Linked DNA regions of Arabidopsis thaliana. The protein of the gene in region 1 interacts with the protein of each later gene in a pairwise test. Each region holds a gene or a part of one and is shown on either strand. Other genes may lie near its edges.

Region 1 (6,228 bases):
AGATGATGATGAAAATGCAAGAAGGTAGATTCTTCTTCAAGGCCGTGTTACACGCAAGCGTAAACGGGTCCTCCCAATTGCGCATTGCGGTTACACGCGCAATGGAATCGATTTGATTGATGTGAAATCTCTTGTTTTCTTCTTTTTCTTTTTTGTCTTTCGTGATCGCCAAGAAATTGTGTGAACGGAAGAGAGAAAAACAAAACCTACCAAGAATAGACAAAGCAAAGTATTTAAATTTGCAAAATTGTGATTATTTTTTTTTGGATTTGTGGCATCTTAAGATTATTATTAGGTGAGAGAGTTCTTTGGATAACCATTCAATTATCTTGTTTTAACTTTTTAAGTTATATATACATGTAATCGTTGTTGTACTGATTTGTCATTTGCTTTAGTTCCAACCAAATTTATTTTTCTCTCTATATGAGAATTATTTTGGTATAACTGATTTTAAGAATCAGGCATAACTGGTGGATTGTTCTATATGATGATGATAATATCTGAACCAATTAAACAAGTAATGTGATATAACTCGGTAGAGTTTTAGAGATTTCTGTTTTATCACCAGTTACCCGTTAAAAACAAACAAACAACATGTTTTATAAATTAATCGACAAATATGGTCAGTCAAACTAGGAGTAAAACTTAGTAGTCTCTTAATTTTCTTTTCAAAATTCTAGTAATGAAATTATAAAGGATGACTTTGTTATTCCTAAATTATGTGACTGCGCACGATTAAGAGTTGTTATTTTCGGACAGTGTTACTCGAGGAAAGACATAAAAAAGACAAAAGACATAAACAATGATAAAATTAAACTTTATGGGGAGAAAATCAAATGTAAAAAAATGAAGAAAAAGAAAATGGAAGGTCAAAAAGTTGAATGCTGAAATTGTTCTTCTGAAAGAACGCGGAATTGGGTTAAAGAGCTTTAAAGTGTTGGTGGGCCGACACGATTGGTCGGCATGAAATCTTAAGGTGTGAACCTTTCAAGTACACATTTCTGCTGCTTATGCAGTGTCCATACTCCAATTTCGGTTCGTACTGGAAAACATACTAAAGTGGATGTATATTTGATAACAGTTTTTGTTTTTGTTTTTGAATACTAGTATTATATAAAAGAGATTTTTCCTAGTCTACTAATGTTTCAATCCAATCCATTGTAGTTATCAAACTAGTTATTTATGGGTATTCAAAGCTGATAATATGGTACTGCGGGGTAGTAGTATAATACTAAATAATTACTTACGAAATTAATAATGAAATGAGTAATTATAGAATGAATGCATATAATTAAGTGTTTTTTTTTCACAAAAGAAAGACGCCTGAATTTAATAATAAAGTGTATTAAATATTAATTCACATTTGTCGTAAATACGTGGATTGTAAAAGTGTATCAATCGTATGTATGTACCACTGGTTAAACAAATGTATGATGCATCAATAGTCAAACTAAAAAACTCGCTGATCTTTGAACACGAAGTTGAAAAAAAAGTCGAAAAAATCTCACTGATGTATGTAAAAAGAAAATATGTTGGTAAATAAAAGAAAAAATGGGAGGATAAAAAGGCAGGGAATAATCACAAACTTTTAGGCCTAAAAATGATAAGTGTTGGACCAACCCATGGCTTGCACGTTTGGTCTCATCTCGTTACTTTTGTTTTCGATCTCATCGATGTCTGCGTCTGTGCGGACCATTTTACCCTTGCCTTTTATTACTTCACTAAAAGATGAACACACGAATTATTTAGACATGCGGCACACAATTTTATTACGGTTAAGTTTACAGTTTTAAGGCGAAAATATATCGTTATGCTTTATGCTACATTAATTATGTATAGTAGTACTCCCTACCCAAAACAAAGTTACGTATAGTACTTTGATTGGCCATCGAGGACTCAAGGTTTACTAAATAGAAAGTAAAACAAAGAGATGTTTATTGCATTCGTCGTCCACACATAGAATAATCAATCATCATCATGATTTGTTTTACATTCTTAAGTTCTCGTAATTATTCGTTTCGTACGTTTTTTTAATTTTATTCCAAAGAATTTAACATTAATATTTTGAAGAACCATGTGCTACTAGCCTACTATTATACTCAATTGACAACAACCCATTTTATTTTGCTTTTGCTCGTGTTTCATTCATTTCGAACGATTGGATTTACATAAAATAGTCTATACACAAAGACAAAACAAAATCGCTTTTTTTTTTTTTTTTTTTTTCATTTTGTATACTATTATTGTGGAAAACGCAACATTTATATATCATACTATTGATCTTGCATGGTTCCATGAATTTTCTAGGTAAAAAAAGTGTGTTAATAGAACAAACAAAACTGTTAAAACATGTTGAATTACTTAATGCAATTTGACTCTGGTAAAACATGGTCAGCCACGACATTTCAACTACTCTCATTAACTCCCAAATGTTTCATCATTTAATATATGAAAATCATTATATAATACTCGTATGATTCAATTACTCAGATAATAGTGATGTAATGCATGACACTTGTTTTTGGAATTTTATTTTATTTCCAGTTATATATTACAGTTGTTTACTCGTCAGACTAATATTGACTGTTATTAGAAATAAAGGTACTTAATTCTTATTCTTTACGCGCTACAAAATAAGCAACAATGGCAAAACCGTAAAAATGAGTAGTCAAAGGGGTATTTGGTTTTAGAAAGAGATGAGGATAAAAATGAGGTTAAGCGTTTTTATTATTCCCCTGGTGGAAAGTAGGCAAGCAAGTGGTATCATCAACAAACAAAGCACTTCTCTTTTGATTCGATTCTCTCTTTACCTTGAAGCTTCAATATCAACCAAATCTTTTTTCTCAAAATCTCAAAGAATCTCTCAAACTCAGTCTCCTATCTGTCTCTCTGCAAACTATTACCAACCAGGTTAGATTCTTGATCTCAAAGTTTCCATCTTTTTATTTTATGTCGGTTGCTTTCGCTGAGTTCTGGTTTCTTTGATTTTCTTAGTTACAGAACACAACTTACTTTGTTTTTTGGTTTGGGCTGTGTTGAAAATTGAGCTTAGGGTTTTATGTAACAGTTGTCTTAGCTCATAGTTACGGTTAAAAAGCTCTCAACTTTGTCTCCCTAATGATAATTGAATTCAATCTTGTTTATGATTTTTCTCTATTGGGTCGATCTTTAACTGAATCTATCTACATAAAGATCCAACCGTTTTAAGAATCTTAGGGTTCTTATCATCTTGTTCAAAACTAAGATTCTGTTTTTTGGTGTGGCAGATAATTTAGATATGGAAGCTACTCAGAAACATATGATTCAAGAAGGATCTTCAATGTTTTACCATCAACCATCTTCAGTCAAACAAATGGACCTTTCTGTTCAGACATTTGATTCTTACTGCACACTTGAATCCTCTTCAGGCACCAAGTCTCATCCTTGTCTTAACAACAAAAACAACTCTTCTTCAACCACAAGCTTTTCCTCTAATGAAAGTCCCATTTCTCAAGCCAACAACAACAACTTATCAAGGTTTAACAATCATTCCCCTGAAGAAAACAATAACTCTCCCTTGAGCGGTTCTTCAGCGACAAACACCAACGAGACAGAGCTTAGTCTCATGCTTAAAGATTTGGAGACTGCAATGATGGAGCCTGATGTAGACAACAGCTATAACAATCAAGGCGGGTTTGGACAGCAGCATGGAGTTGTTTCTTCAGCTATGTATAGATCTATGGAGATGATCTCTAGGGGAGATTTAAAAGGAGTGCTCTATGAATGCGCAAAAGCTGTTGAAAACTATGATTTGGAAATGACTGATTGGTTGATCTCTCAGTTACAGCAAATGGTTTCTGTTTCTGGTGAGCCTGTTCAGCGCTTAGGAGCTTATATGCTTGAAGGTCTCGTTGCTAGGTTAGCTTCTTCGGGTAGCTCCATCTATAAAGCATTGAGATGCAAAGACCCAACGGGTCCTGAGCTTCTTACTTATATGCATATCTTGTATGAAGCCTGCCCTTATTTCAAATTCGGTTATGAATCTGCTAATGGAGCTATAGCTGAAGCTGTGAAGAACGAAAGTTTTGTGCACATTATCGATTTCCAGATTTCTCAAGGTGGTCAATGGGTGAGTTTGATCCGTGCTCTTGGTGCTAGACCTGGTGGACCTCCGAACGTTAGGATAACGGGAATTGATGATCCGAGATCATCGTTTGCTCGTCAAGGAGGACTTGAGTTAGTTGGACAAAGACTTGGGAAGCTAGCTGAAATGTGCGGTGTTCCGTTTGAGTTCCATGGAGCTGCTTTATGCTGCACGGAAGTCGAAATCGAGAAGCTAGGAGTTAGAAATGGAGAAGCGCTCGCGGTTAACTTCCCGCTTGTTCTTCACCACATGCCTGATGAGAGTGTAACTGTGGAGAATCACAGAGATAGATTGTTGAGATTGGTCAAACACTTGTCACCAAACGTTGTGACTCTGGTTGAGCAAGAAGCGAATACAAACACTGCGCCGTTTCTTCCCCGGTTTGTCGAGACAATGAACCATTACTTGGCAGTTTTCGAATCAATAGATGTGAAACTCGCTAGAGATCACAAGGAAAGGATCAATGTTGAGCAGCATTGTTTGGCTAGAGAGGTTGTGAATCTTATAGCTTGTGAAGGTGTTGAAAGAGAAGAGAGGCACGAGCCACTAGGGAAATGGAGGTCTCGGTTTCACATGGCGGGATTTAAACCGTATCCTTTGAGCTCGTATGTGAACGCAACAATCAAAGGATTGCTTGAGAGTTATTCAGAGAAGTATACACTTGAAGAAAGAGATGGAGCATTGTATTTAGGATGGAAGAATCAACCTCTTATCACTTCTTGTGCTTGGAGGTAACTAATAAAAACCTTGTTCGGTTTCAGAAGAGATTAGAAACTTCTTTTAAAGTTTGCAGAATCTGTTTGTAAAAGTAAAACTCATGCATGATCCGAAGGAACAAGTTGTCAAATGTTGTAGTAGTAAGTGATATGTTGATGACCCCATATATGTTTAAGGTTTATGTTTTTTTTTTTCTTTTCTCACAACAAACTATGATTTGACATCAAACTTATAACTCTCTGTTTATGATGTGATAAATTAATGATATATGGTTTTTTCTTGTCGTTTGTATTACGCACAAGGTTAGGAAAATTTGCAGATTTTTTTGAAGCAATATCATTAAGTTAATGTAGCACCAGACATCTAATTGACTAATCGAATGTCCTAAACAGTCAAACGTTTAACCAATTTTAAGGTGTTTAGAATAGTACTCAATTTTTCATTATAATGTATTGTTTTTTTTAATAATTTTTTAATTTTGTTTCATTATATTAAATGTTTTACAAGTTTGGATGCAAATATAAAATGTATTTGATATTTTGCAGCCACTTTTGTAATTGGTTGATTTTTTAAAAGTTAAATAATCGAACGTTAATGTACGTTTAAATGATGAACATACGAATAAATCAAAGTTATAACCAATTAGTTGTTTGATTAAACAATACTTGTAACAAAAACATACATGATCCCATTTGTAACCATCGTTTTAATGTTTTAGTTAAGAGATAATAAGAGAGAACCGGAATTCTTTTTTTGAAAATGTAGTTTGAAAAAGTGGTTAGAGATAATAAGAGAGAACTGGAATTGTTTTTTTGTACTTTGGTTAAAACTATGGTACGTTTGGAAATGAAACAAAGATAATCTTGAATTATTATACATTTGAATTATTGCGCCTTCTATGATCCGAAAGATAGCTGTTCAAACCACAGTTTTACCACATTTGGAAGCAGCGAAATAATGTTCCTCACAACAACACTATCTTGCCTCGACAAAGGAAGCATTTTGGAAACTTAATGCAACCTTGGATTAGATGATTTCACTTTTGTGTCTTTACATTTATTTGTTACCTTGTTTTTAATTTTGGCAAGGTCTCAAAAACTTTAGGTTTTATTTTGTGTAATTCCTAAACTTTTCATTTATAATGATATTTACAGTTATATCAAAAATATTCATTCTTATTTTCCCTTTAACTACATAATAACCAGAGAGCAGCTTTGGATATATAATGTCGGAAGGCATGCTCTTATGCTACTCCATTTCACATTAAGTCTATGCTTCGAAATTTATAGGAACGAAATGTTCCAATCTTTCATTGTCTTCCTCTATTATTTAAACCCAAAACCTCAAGCAATAAAAGCAGATTGTTTTCTTTGACTATACAAAATAAT
Region 2 (3,523 bases), on another chromosome or scaffold:
GGCCTTGACAATATCTCATTGGCGACGATAAGTAACACCTTTAAAATGAAACCACGTCACTTTGTGTTGGTCCGTATTACGTAAGCCCATTTATTAGTGAAACGGCACCGTATGACAAATATTACTATTGGATTACCTTTCTTGTTAATCAAAGTTTAAAGTTATCATAAATATCATAACAACTTGATTGATTTTTATATATGCTTACAATTGTGTTTGCTTGTATATTATCTCATGATATATATAATACGTCTAACTATAAAATATAGACTTTTCTTGTCATTGGTCACAATAAACCCAAACCAAATAGATTATAAAAAAAAAAAAAAACACACACACACACACAATTGAAAGACAAAAAATGAAGTAAGATACATAAAAACACACTCACAGTCACGACTGAACTTGATAAGTCTTGCGTTAGCAATATTTTGTTTTACTTTATTTTATTACCAAACAAAATAACGTTTTTACTTTTCAAAAAAATTCTGATTTACTTGTGAAGCAAGTAAGATGCCTCTTCCTGCCTTTCTATACGTGCTCCTTCTCCGTTAATTTTTCTCAGTCGTCTTCTTGGTAGATGCTTCCTCTCCGTTCTTTGTGCCACGTCTTGCTGATCTTCTTCCGACAAACTCAGCCGCCGCATCGTTGTAAGCCTTAGCCGCCATCTCCGCTGTTGGAAACGTTCCAAGCCATCTCCTTACTTTCAAACTCGGATCCCATATCTCCGCCGCCCATTTACCTGATGGTTTATGAAAGTACATCAACTGCATGCTAACGTATTGGAACATAGTTTACCTCATGGGCTCGTGGCTTATATATATATGAAAATACATGAACTAAAACTAGCTAGTACTAGAAAAACTCAAAGCTTGTATTAGAATAGAACTTACCTGATGGTTTTTTCCTCACTCCTTTGTGCTTCTTCTCCTTCTTAATTATCGCCTCGTGTCGTGGGAAGACGCAACCGTAGCAGCCGGTGACACTACAAAGAGGACAAGGGCCAGCGTTCAAAGGTGGAAGATCAGCTTCCCATGCATTCGAGTTCGTGTCACCTCCGACGTTGGATATTACTTGTTGCAAAGCAGAGACCATGATCACATGTTCTTGATCTCTCGTCAAATTAGGAGTGAAATTGATGTTTTGATCGTAAGAGGGAACATTTTCTGAATTTTCCATTTCCGCGGAGTCGTTGAACTGAAAATAATTCGTTGCTCACGGTCACTGAGAAGTGTTGAAAGTGTTGTGAAGATTTCAAAAGAAACTACTGACGAGTAAGCAAAAAAAGGTTTATATGGTACTAGACTACTAGACATATGGTCCCATGCAAATCTTTAGATACGCGGCACCAATTAGTGTTGTTTTTTTCCTTTGAGAACGATACATCTGTTCAGTAGATATTTATTTTCTGCAAAAGCGATTGCTATATTTATTCGATACACTACTTACTAATTATTATTAGTCTTGACACCGAGTAAACCAAATATACTTCTTAGTCAAGATATTTTCAACTACCTTATTTAAGTCAAAATACAGTTGGATCCTATTATATAATGGTTTATTTTGTAATCTGGACTGCAAATATACACATTTTTTTAGTGTTTAAAAGTTGAGTTTCATTCGTAACAATTGGATAGGTGTAATTTCATTGTTTTAAAAATCATTTTATATTTTGCAATACTTTTTCATAGGTTAATACGATGGTTGTATACTTGTATGTATCAGTCCTTGGATTAATTTTGCCCAATGACATTCTATCTATAATACTTTGTTCTATCCTTTTTGCTCTTTTTTTTTTCTATCTTATATATCTAATCTACTCTTTTGATTTAGCATTACATTGTGCAACGCTATACAAAATGGAACCATATGTTTTCGAGCTTTTTGAAATATTTTTGGGGGTTATTTCTGTTCTGTTAAGATATATTTCATTTGCAGTGCTGGTTTTGGTTTCTGTACAAACAGTGAGTCAATAATTAAGGAAACAAGGTACTCATATTCCAGTGCTTTAAGTCTTTATTCATATACCAAGTTGTTATGAGAGTCTCCCTTTGAATATCCCCGGTCATCACTTTCATATTTTGTATTTTTTTTCTTTGATTTAATTATATACAGTTCAAGACAAATTTAGTTAACTAAAATGAGACAGTTAATTGCTTTCAATTTCATGTTTCACTGATGATAACGTAAACAGAATAATGAGTAAAACAAAGTAAAAATGCAGAGAACCGAAACAGAGTATTCCTATTACGATAATTTGATATAACGTTCATAAAACGCGATATCAACTTCTCACCTACAAGAGTCTCGACGAAAGAGCTTCGGTAAAACGATGAGGGAAATCTAGAAGTCTCTAGAAATAAAATACAACCAGATTATTCGCATAAGAAAGCATGAACATAACATGTTGCTTTTTATACTAAAAGGTAAAGAAAGTAAACGTTAATAATGATCACCGTCAATGTCAAGTTGCCAGCTCAAAACACACACGTGCATTCCTTTTTGCTCTTGACTTCACATGTGTGATCTTGACTTTCTAGAATACTATATCATTGACTAAATAAGAAACCAACACAAAAAGAGTTTTCGAAGCGGAATACACAGATTGGACTCGGATACGAGGATACGACAAAAAACAAGAAACCCTACAAATTACTATTGATGAGGTTCTTTGTATATATAGTGGTTGTTGCATACCATCATCTCCTTTTCGTTTCTATATATCATAAACTTTCTTTATGTCTCAAATAAAAGCTCTGTATGGTATTGGTCTTCTTGAGCAAGTCATTTATAGATGACAAAATATTCATGCTTTGTTCTTAGCGATTTCTGTATCGATCGCTTCAATTTTACCTATGAAATTGTTTATACAAGATTTTTTTTTTTAAAAAAGCAACCAAGCGGTAGTGGTTTTCACTGAGGAGAAATTTTTTGTAGGTTTAATATATGGATCGAATCATTTCAAACGTAAAATTTACTAAATTATTCCAGTTAATCCGTCGAACCCCACTAGAAAACGTGGTGAATAAGTAATTTGACGGCTACATTCACCCTAAAAAAATGAAACATGCGATTAATAGTGTAACTTTAAATCCCTTACCAAAAAAAAAAAAGTGTAACTTATAAGTTGATTTGTCTTTTATTTTATCGCATGGTATAAAATACGTCTAACAATAAAATAGAACATTTTATTATCATTGCTTACATTAATTAACCACAAAATAAACCCAAACCAAATAGATAAAATACACACAATTGGTAAAAAAAAAAAATAGAGGATAAAATACACACAAGAAAGATCACCTTACTAAAGTGTACCGAAATCAAACCGAAGTTGATAAGTCTTACTTAAGCAATTTTCTGTTTTATTATTATATTATCAAATTAAACCAAACCAAACCGAAGTGCTTCGTTTTGTTGGCAAAAACCGTTTTATTCTTTTACTGTTTTATCATATTTACTTGTGAAGCAAGTAAGATGCTTCTTCCTGAATAATCTTCCACGCCTCCTTAACGTGCTTCTC
Region 3 (3,567 bases), on another chromosome or scaffold:
TTAGATATTGGCTGCCAGGTAGGCTTCACCTTCCTACTATATAGATTGTTTTCAAATCTTCATGACAACACTTTTGATCCTTCGCATTCACTAAATAAGTACATATTATCAGTTTGACACCAAAAAAATGGATTATTCAGAAAATGTTCAAAACAAAAATTTCACCCCTATTTCACAACCTCCTAACTTGACAAGAGACCAAGAACATGCTATCATGGTTTCTACTTTGCGACAAGTGATATCCAACACTGGAGGTGATACGTCATCATCTCACTACATTGCTGCAAGTGAGGCTCTTCCACCTTCGGACGCTGGCCCTTGTCCTCTTTGCGGCGTCACCAGTTGCTACGGGTGCGCATTCCCACAGCATGAAGAGATTAAGCAGGAGAAGAAGCATAAAGGAGTGAGGAAGAAGCCATCAGGTAAGTAAATTTTGTTCCAACATCTTTGAGTTTGTTCCATCGGTTTATAACTTTACTAAGTTATTATCAGGAAAATGGTCGGCGGAAATATGGGATCCGAGTACAAGAACAAGGAGGTGGCTTGGAACGTTTCCGACGGCAGAGATGGCAGCGGATGCTTACGATGAGGCAGCGGCTGCGCTTGTCGAAAAAAGATCAGCGAGACGTGGCTCAAAGAAGGGAGAAGGAAGCATTCACCAAGAAGTCGGCGGCGGAGATGACTGAGAAATTAAGCTATATAACTATATATCGTTTTATAGGGGGAAAAATAGATGTTTTGGGAGAAATTAATACATTACCTAGATGGGTTATATGTTTTACGAGAAACCACTTGCGTGTGTTTTTTTTTTAATAAGAGGTTTTCAAATTAAAGTTTTGATGGAAAAAAAGTTAGATAGAGCCCAAAAAGTTTTGAGTAAAAGACCTCTATTTTATTGGAGAGTCTTCTCCTCTGTAGTGGCCTTTAACATTTGCATTGTGGTGTGCTTTATCATTGTTTTTGCTTGTTTTGTGTTGATGATTACCTCTGTTTGTGGAAGAGTATTCTCGTTCTGTTTCTTAATGGCACTTTATTGAGGCAGATACTCAACCAGAAGGTAGAAACTCTGATGATGGAGTCGATCACTAATTTTCTGGATTTAGTCCGAGGATCTAAACTAGTTGCATGTATAGTCTGTGATTATATTCTATCCAAATCACATAGAGAGAAACCTTCTAAGCTATAAGAGTTTCTTCTCTGAGTTTTGGAACCATTTGCAGAAGATGATCCTTATACGGCTTACTACTAAAACGTTTTTGTATTTACGGTTTCTCAAATGTAAAATACTTGTATTTCAATATAAAAACTAGATATACTCGTGCATACATACAAAACTAAGTGATAATTGGAATTCTGGTCTATCCCATTTTTTTGGTTAATTTTTAGTACAGAACAAATATGTACTTTGACTAACTTCTAAAACGACAATATTCCAAACTGAAAAAATTTCTACAGAATGGAGTTATTATCAAATAAATATAAAAATACAAGTTAAGCCTGTTAAGAAACATTCATATATGTAAATTTATCAATTTGAAAAAATAATATATATATATATATATATATATATATCAATTTGGTAGGGAAGTTAAACTTGAGTACTATATGCATTAGTGCACAGCAATGAGAAGTCAGCGTTTATTTTAGTCTACTTGATTCTCTCTATTGAATAATCGGCTCGAAACTATATGATTGATCAAATTCAGTAGGATTTTAGCTCATGAAGCAACTTCTCGGCCGCGTGTATTACATAATGCATGAGAAAGTCTCGTTGAGACCCACATGTATATTCGAAACGTGCTCCTTTAAGAGAATGACGCGGCGTGTATTACATACTGTATGAAACTGACAGAATAATTAAGTGATTGAGAACGAATGAAAAATAAAAGATTGAAATAAGTGTAATGCAAAATTGCAAATATAATCTTATAAAAAACTTTGATATTTATTTACAAAACATTAATATAACATTTGTTTTTAACGTCTTTTTAAAAAATCCCATATAGTATATATTTTTATATATTATACATATTATTTCTTTATTTAATAACAACACAGTATTTAACTTTTAAATATCATAGAATTCAAAATTTGATAAATACGTGCGGCTTTTAATTTCTTGATTCGAACATGTCAAAACAATTAGTGAATTTGATTAAAGAGTTATACTATTACGTTATCTTATCAAATTCAAACTCGCATTATAGTCTGCAATTCACTCAAAATATTTTTAAATCAACTAATATAAAAAGTGTTTTCCACTATTTTTTTTTTTTTTTTAAACATGATCGAGCGAAACATTTTGACCTTTTTTCTTTTTTTTTTCTTGGGTCAAACGAGTATGATCGTCTTTTTGTAAATTTTTTTCCGCATACATACAAAGGTAGCCTTTCCGTTTTTATAATCACATTCATGTGACTAATAATTTAGACGAATGGTAGCAAAATGTCAGGCCACATAAACGCTAAAAAAAGCATCACAGTTATGTTTCCATTCATTGGCTATAAAAACCATGCTCACTCCCTTTTGTTCTTCACACCATTTGCAGGAAAAAATGAATAGTTGTCAGTCTAATCCCACCAAAATGGATAATTCAGAAAATGTTCTATTTAATGATCAAAACGAAAATTTCACACTTGTTGCACCACACCCTTCTTCTTCGTACTTGACAAGAGATCAAGAGCACGAGATCATGGTCTCTGCTCTGCGACAAGTGATATCTAACTCCGGAGCTGACGACGCGTCATCATCAAACTTGATCATCACAAGCGTTCCGCCTCCAGACGCTGGCCCTTGTCCTCTCTGTGGCGTCGCCGGTTGCTACGGCTGCACATTACAACGGCCGCACCGAGAGGTAAAGAAGGAGAAGAAATACAAAGGAGTAAGGAAAAAACCATCGGGTAAATGGGCGGCGGAGATATGGGATCCGAGATCGAAATCAAGGAGGTGGCTTGGAACGTTTCTTACGGCGGAGATGGCGGCACAATCTTACAATGATGCGGCGGCTGAGTATCGAGCAAGACGTGGTAAAACAAACGGAGAAGGAATTAAACGGCGGTGGAGATGACTGAGAAGGACATGGTCGGTGATCATACACGGCGAGGTGGAAATGTTATATTTACTATTGAAAACTAAATTATTTATTATAGAGGGAGATATTACTCTTTACGCTTTCATTAAGATTTATTTTTATAAGTTTTAAAGTATTTTATTGTTATATGAAGATAAAATATATTATTTATTTATATTTTATTTTATAATAAGATATTATTTTTTATTTTTTTTTATTATTTTATTTTTATTCTCTGTGCTATATATACTCTGAAAGTCTGAATATATAATCCATTTTGGTGTGGGAGTATTAGACTATTAATTATGGTCAATTAAATGAAGTTCAAAAATATGAATGGAAGATATATGAATAAATTGAATTAATAGATGTTTATAATTATTGAGACTGCTTTAGCGTAGAAAATGCTGCATACATTATTGTTGGGAAAATAAAAATGAGTATTAATATTTAACATAAATATTAAATGTCTTTAATATGTGTGAGAGAATTATTAA

Evidence for each region.
Region 2: the proteins of SCL5 (region 1) and AT2G20350 interact in binary tests that used the Arabidopsis thaliana proteins (3 or more experiments, as listed by UniProt).
Region 3: the proteins of SCL5 (region 1) and AT5G67000 interact in binary tests that used the Arabidopsis thaliana proteins (3 or more experiments, as listed by UniProt).

Annotation. Positions count from the first base shown.
Region 1 is NC_003070.9:18,736,028-18,742,255, reverse strand, and holds SCL5 (scarecrow-like 5), read left to right. Parts: upstream 1-2,606; 5' UTR 2,607-2,696; coding exon 2,697-2,910; intron 2,911-2,920; exon of another isoform or gene 2,921-3,082; intron 3,083-3,266; coding exon 3,267-4,858; 3' UTR 4,859-5,193; downstream 5,194-6,228. Other genes in the region: PRK5 (Leucine-rich repeat protein kinase family protein), read right to left, coding at 1-85. UniProt on the Arabidopsis thaliana protein: Probable transcription factor involved in plant development.
Region 2 is NC_003071.7:8,782,425-8,785,947, reverse strand, and holds AT2G20350 (Integrase-type DNA-binding superfamily protein), read right to left. Parts: upstream 1,180-3,523; coding exon 894-1,179; intron 743-893; coding exon 552-742; 3' UTR 501-551; downstream 1-500. Other genes in the region: AAS (Pyridoxal phosphate (PLP)-dependent transferases superfamily protein), read right to left, coding at 3,458-3,523.
Region 3 is NC_003076.8:26,746,177-26,749,743, reverse strand, and holds AT5G67000 (Integrase-type DNA-binding superfamily protein), read left to right. Parts: upstream 1-2,462; 5' UTR 2,463-2,512; coding exon 2,513-3,067; downstream 3,068-3,567. Other genes in the region: AT5G67010 (Integrase-type DNA-binding superfamily protein), read left to right, coding at 128-422, 493-686.